2 linked regions of the Macaca fascicularis genome follow. The protein of the gene in region 1 binds, or shares a complex with, the protein of each later gene. Links are inferred from orthologs where the notes say so. Each region holds a gene or a part of one and is shown on either strand. Other genes may lie near its edges.

The links. The genes of interacting proteins can lie anywhere in the genome.
Region 2: POLR3C (region 1) and POLR3G share a complex: the UniProt entries of both Homo sapiens proteins name them as parts of the RNA polymerase III complex. The link is inferred for Macaca fascicularis from reciprocal best matches to the Homo sapiens genes POLR3C and POLR3G.

What each region holds. Positions count from the first base shown.
Region 1 is NC_088375.1:113,582,553-113,586,052, forward strand, and holds part of POLR3C (DNA-directed RNA polymerase III subunit RPC3), read right to left. Parts: intron 339-3,500; coding exon 234-338; intron 109-233; coding exon 16-108; intron 1-15. UniProt on the Homo sapiens protein: DNA-dependent RNA polymerase catalyzes the transcription of DNA into RNA using the four ribonucleoside triphosphates as substrates.
Region 2 is NC_088380.1:94,508,330-94,511,829, forward strand, and holds part of POLR3G (DNA-directed RNA polymerase III subunit RPC7), read left to right. Parts: intron 1-2,792; coding exon 2,793-2,939; intron 2,940-3,500. UniProt on the Homo sapiens protein: DNA-dependent RNA polymerase catalyzes the transcription of DNA into RNA using the four ribonucleoside triphosphates as substrates.

The DNA.
Region 1 (3,500 bases):
GAACACGAAACTCACCTCATTGGAAGACAATGGCTGGGTGAAGGGAGCACTAGAGGAAGTGGTAATCTCACTCATTCGGAGCATGGTTCGCACAATCTCGCTGCTCGTCTGTTTGAAAAGTAAACTAGAATTCAGAAATCACAGTGCTGCCCCCGGCTCTCTGTGCCAATGGCCAGATATGACAAATAAGTAAATGTCCCTGATGACCAATGACAGACCCACTTAGGTATTACCTGGTCCATCCTGTTAGCAACTGCACTCACAATGGCTTGATCACGGAAGTGTTGGTGGAATCTGTCAAGGTTGGCCTGCCAATAAATCCCGTCATCTGGAATGGGCTGAGGAAGAGAAAAGATTTAGAGAGAAACATTTAGATATAATGTAAAGTTTTCTGGTGAGGAGCTTGGATTTAATGGTTCACCATTTCTTTTCCTACACAGTAACAACTAAATTGGTTGGAGAAAAATCATTCAGTCATGTAGATTGGTGTCTAGACAAATCCCAACTTCAAACAGGTTCTCTAAGCTCATCTCCAATCTTTCTCTCCCTATTTTATTATTTTACTTTTTTTTTTGAGATGGAGTTTTGCTCTTGACACCCAGACTGGAGTACAGTGGCATGATCTCGGCTCACTGGAACCTCTGCCTCTCGGGTTCAAGAGATTCTCCTGCCTCAGCCTACCGAGTAGCTGGGATTACAGGCAACCACCACTGAGCTAGGCTAATTTTTCTATTTTTAGTAGAGTTTGAGTTTTACAGTGTTGGCTAGGCTGGTGCTGGGATTACAGGCGTGAGCCACCATGACCGCCCTTTCTCTCCCTATTTTAACTCTTCTCCATTACCCTCAAGTCTCCAACCTGACCCTTCTTCCTTCTCACTCTTGGCAGATGACTTTGCCTCTGATTTCACAGAGAAAATAGAAGCCACTAAGCCAGAACTTACTCAGCTCTGTGCACATCCTCACCACATTTCTTTCTTTTTTGTTCTTAACTCATATTTTCACTCACTTTTATCACAGCTGAAAAATGTTCCTTTTACCTAAGGTTAATGCCCATATTGGTATTCCAGATCTTACTCTCTCATTCATTCTTGGGGATCCAGCTCTATTTTACCCTGTCCTCTAACATCTTCAGCCTTTCCTTCTCTACCGCCTTCTTATCAGCCTTTACCCTGTCCAAGTCTCTTTTACTCTAGAATTCTCCTTCAACCCTATGCCTTCTCTTCTTTTCCTTACTGTCACAGCCAAGCTTCTCAAACAGTTGGCCATCCCAGCTGTTATCTCTATCTAGATTTACTTAACCCGTTTCCACCATTGTACTGAAATGTCAATTGTCACTTGCATTCCAGTGAAATTCCACAATTGTCCCTGAGGACTCTATGTTGTTAAGTTCAAATAATACTTTCCACTTCTGATCTTATTTAACCTTTTGGAAGCATATGACATGGTTGGACATTTTTTCCTTCTTAAAACTTTATGTGGCTCCTTGGATTTTATGACACCATTTTTTTTTTTTCTTTTTAAAGACAGGGTCTTTGTCACCCAGGCTGGAGAGCAGTGGTGTGATCGTAGCTCACTGCAGCCTTGACCTCCTTGGGCTCAGGTGATCCTCTCACCTCAGCCTCCCAAGTAGCTGGGACCACAGGTGTGTGCCACCACGCTTGGGTAATTTTTGTATTTTTTGTAGAGACAGGGTCTCACCATGTTGCTCAGGATGGTCTCAAACTCCTAGGCTCAAGTGATCCGCCAGCCTTGCCCTTCCAAAGTGTTAGGATTACAGGTGTGAGCCACTGGGTCTGGCTGACACTATTTTTTCTTGGTGCTACTTTGAACCTTTCTGGCCACCTTTCCTCAGTCTCCACCGATTCCTCTTTCAGATCCCACCTATAATACTGGTGTTTTGTCAGGGTTCTATCCATACCTTTCCTTTCTTTTTATTCTACATGCTCTACTTGGGTAATTTTATCTGCTCTCCAGGTTTCAACTATTGGTGCATTTCCAAATATGTCACTCTATCCTAGAACCCTCTCTCTCTTTTTTTGAGACGGAGTTTTGCTCTTTTGCCCAGGCTGGAGTGAAGTGGCACAACCTCGGCTCACTGCAACCTCCACCCTCTAGGTTCAAGCGATTCTCCTGCCTCAGCTTCCTGAGTAGCTGGGATTACAAGCCTGTGCCACCATGCCTGGCTAGTTTTTATATTTTTAGTAGAGATGGGGTTTCGCCATGTTGGCTAGGCTGGTCTCGAATTCCTCACCTCAGGTGATCACCCGCCTCGGCCTCCCAAAGTGCTAGGATTACAGGCATGAGCCACCGCACCCGGCCTATCCTAGAACCCTCTATTAGGCTTCAGATGCATAGACTCAGCTGCCTATTTGACACTTTCACTTGTTCTCCAAACTGTTCTGTTTTGTAAGTTTTCAGGTAACTGCACTATAACCATCCCAGTTTTTTTTTTTTGAGACAGGGTCTTGCTCTGTTGCCCAAGCTGTAGTGCAATGGCACAATTGTGGCTCACTGCAGCCTTGACTTCCTGGGCTCAAGTGATCCTCCCACCTCAGCCCCTCAGTAGCTGGGACTACAAGCATGTGCCATCAGGTCTGGTGGATTTTTTTTTTTTTTGGTAGAGATAGGGTCTATGTTGTCCAGGCTGGTCTCAAACTCCTGGGCTCAAGTGATTCTTCTGCGTCAGCCTCCCAAAATGCTGGGATTACGGGCGAGAGCCACTGTGCCTAGACAACCCAATTTCTTTCTTTCTCTCTTTTTTTTTTTTGGAGATAGAGTCTCGCTCTGTCACCCAGGATGGAGTTCAGTGGTGCAATCTCGGTTCACTGCAACCTCTGCCTTCCAGGTTCAGGCCATTATCCTGCCGCAGCCTCCCAAGTAGCTGTGATTGCAGGCACCCACCACCATGGCCGGCTAATTTTTGTATTTTTAGTAGAGACGGGGTTTCACCATGTTGACCAGGCTGGTCTTGAACTCTGACCTCAGGTGATCCACCTGCCTCGGCCTCCCAAAGTGCTGGGATTACAGACGTGAGTCACCGTGCTTGGCCGGCCAACCCAATTTCTTAAGCTACAAACTTGGGTATCACCCCTAGTCCCTTGCTGTCCATAATCTACCACATTACCAAGTTCTATCTACTCTTCATAGTTATCAGATGTCTACTTTTCTCTCTCCTATCATTACCTTATTTCAGACTCTAAATCTTGGCCCATCTGGATTACTACAATAACCTCCTAACTGGTTTTTCTTTTTTCTTGTTTTTTTCCCCTTTAAAACATAGCAGACACTATAAAAGGAATAACTGGGTTTTCTCCTTCTAATTTTGTTTTGCATCATTCTTCCCATTTCTTTTTTTTTTTTTTAAACTGTTTTGGGTCACAGTTCCTTTGAAGAATGTAATGAAAGGTATGGAGAGCTTCACTGAAAAATGCACATAAGTACAAGCAGACTCTCTGAAATCCATCCATGGAGTAGTACAGGTTAGGAACTGCTATGCTATA
Region 2 (3,500 bases), on another chromosome or scaffold:
TCAGCAAAAACAGTTCCAAATTTTTTTATAATAGTATATTAATGGATGGATAGGGAGTGACATACATTCAAATCTCATGATTAATCTGTGAGTATTTAGTGGTAAACTAATATCTGAGATTTCTTTTTTCTGCATAACAGGAGGCTCTGTATGGTGGCTGTAAGGCTGTATAATATTTAAACCAGAAGAACTGCTCTCTGTCTATAATTGAACACTGTTTTCAGTGTCTTTATATTATTCATTTTATTCTTAAATCTGTAAAGTAGTAAGGTTAGATGGTTAAATCTCAACAGGAGAGAAAATGGAGACTAGTAAGTAGAAGAGCTGAAACTAGTAGCTTAATGCAAAAGGAATGAAGCAGTGAGACAATGTATGTGACTTTGAGATCAGTTTTTATTAAAAAGTTGTATAAATCTGCTATTTTTAACCTATTTTATGAGTCTGATTTAGATCTCTATGGTGGAAATAAAGATGAGAATTTTTTTTAAAGATATTTGAGATAGCAATAATAGAAATATAGACTTCCTAGTTCCTATGTGGCAATGAATTTAAAAAGTACTTTTGGCCAGGCGTGGTGGCTCATGCCTGTAATCCCAGCTCTTTGGGAGGCTGAGGCAGGTTGATCACGAAGTCAGGAGATCGAGACTGTCCTGACTAACACAGTGGAACCCCGTCTCTACTATAAATACAAAAAAATTAGCCGGGCGTGGTAGCCGGCACTTGTAGTCCCAGCTACTCGGGAGACTGAGGCAGGAGAATGATGTGAACCTGGGAGGTGGAGCTTGCAGTGAGTCGAGATCGTGCCACTGCCCTCCAGCCTGGGTGAGAGAGCAAGACTCCTCCTCCAAAAAAAAAAAAAAACGTACTTTTACATAACTGGTTTAAATAACTATGTTCTTAATTATAAAATAATAGCATGATTTTTTAGACATAGTGTGTACCCTGCACAGAGCTAAATAAATATGGCACTACAGTTTCCTATTAACTACACAAACTTATTGGTTGCAGGTCTTTTTACTGTGATCTGATTAAAATATAAAAAAAAGTTATAATATTAACATAGCATCATATATGTGTGTCTGTCTTATTATAGATGCTGCAAAAGATCCATAAGCACGCTTTACTTGCACTTTTCCAAAAGGATTTCCATTTGGAAAAATTGCACATATTATATTGTAGTAATAACTCATATAAGACAACATATGAGTCAGTATCAAGATAAATCATCTTATGTCTATTACCTTGGTGTTATTTGTTCTGCCTGAGTGGGTTAAGCAGACAGGAAAGGTAGAGTTTGAATTTTGATTAGAAATTGAGCCTATCTAATGTAGTCTCTCTATTGTCTTTGGTTTCCTTAAATTCAAATTTGAATTAATTACAATTTTTAAAGATACGCATTTAAGAACCAATAAAGGAATAGCCAAGTTGTAGTTACTCCAGATATAAAACCTGTTTTCTCTCTCTATGTAATCTACAAAGCAAATACTTTATAATAGAGATGGAGTGTTTGCAGATTCATGCATTAATATTCCAATTTCTGTTTAGGGGACTAATCACATTTTAGCTGAGGTGATTTATGCCTTAATTATGAGTATTAATATGTGAAATTATTGACTCCTGGAAAACTTGTGAAATTCTCTCATATGTGCAAATTGAGCATAGTACAATTTAGTGAACAGATAATGACAGTAATGAATATAGGTCACTTTTTATTAAATGAAAAAAATTGTTGGTAGTCCTAATAAAAATACAAAGATGTAATTTTAAAGTTAATTTTGTGTACTATTCCCTGATGGTTCCACTTGTGGATAAGTGGAACTCTCATGGAATCAAAGCTTTCCAAACTGCATCTCTCTTTTGTCTTCTCTTTTAGAATTTCTGATAATTGCTGGTATTGACTGTGATTTGAGTTTTAATTTCTCTCTTTCTTCTCCATCTGCCAGATATATTAAGAAACAAGAATTCCTGGCAACCGGAAGTAAATAATGAGAGAGAAAAGAGATAAAGACACAGATAAAATGCAACTAGGATAATCTAGCCCAGGATGACTTGCTATTATAATAATAGTGTTAAATGGTCTCCTGTATAAAGTGAAACATAGACATTTTGAAATAATACTATTACCTTATTTTGTTTCCTTTTATGTTAGAAGGAAAACAAAATAACATTCTAAAAGTTCTCCATAAACTAAGTCACCTCAAATATTTTAGAAGGAGGTAGGGTAGACCGCGAGGCACTGTGGCTCATGCCTATAATCCCAGCACTTTGGGAGGCTAAGGTGGGCAGATCTCTTGAGACCAGGAGTTCGAGACCAGCATGGCCAACGTGGAGAAACCCTGTCTCTACTAAAAAATTAGCCAGGCTTGGTGGTGTGCGCCTGTAGTCCCAGCTACTCAGGAAGCTGAAGCAGGAGAATCACTTGAACCCAGGAGGAGGAGGCTGCGGTGAGCCGAGATCGTGCCACTGCACTCCAGCCTGGGTGACAGAGCGAGACTTTCTCTCAAAAGAAAAGAGAAGGTAGGGAAATTAAGCATTGTGCATTAGAGCTGATAAGCCCAGTATTAATCTGAAACCCAATTATTAAGTAACAAAATCAAAGAAAATGCTGGTTTCATGGTGAGATAGTAAATTCCTTCTTTCTTGAGTTGACTGATAGTTTCTTAGTGGTGACCTGGAGGTGGTGTTAAGATGGGATTAGAATAAGGTGATAGATAACTGTTCCCTTAAGGCTAAGCAGGGAAGTCAGCAGTCTAGTGGTTTCCATACAAATTAATGAAACATGCTTATACCAGGAATTGGAAAAAAGAGATGATGGTGAAAAATCAGATGAGGAAAATGAAGATAAAGAAGGCAGCAAAGAGAAAAGTAAAGAAGGTGATGATGACGATGACGATGATGCTGCAGAACAGGAGGAATATGATGAAGAAGAGCAAGAAGAGGTAATGGTTCATTTGGGGATGGCAGCAAAATAAATAAGGTTTATCTAATAAGGAATCATATATATAGTATGTACTAAAATCAACAAACAGAAACCAAGATGATGGGAACCAGAAGTATATTATTATCAATGGCATCAATTCCTTGCTATCGAGAGAACTATTATAGCATTGAAATTATAATGATGTCAAATTGAATATAGGAGATAAAAATAACTTGATTGGCAGCTTTGTAAGTATAAATCTGCAAGTTAAGGAGATTGATCAGATTAGTGCAGTTAAGATTTAACAACATAAAAATTTAAGTCAGCAATTCACGTAACGGAGGGCTTAACCACATAGGTCTAGAGGAGAATCCCTGCAGTGTGTTTCAAATTCCAAAGTGCGTGTGGACACTATCAGAGAAGATTGATAATTTAACCTCAGGTATCTGGCTGAGTCAGGACCCTGTGTTTTCGATTTGGGATGCCTAACTTTTAGAATGAAATGCACATAGTACATTTCAGAAGTAGCTTGAGTCAATCAGGTATTTTTAGCAGGGTAACTTTGCAGACCACAGCCTCA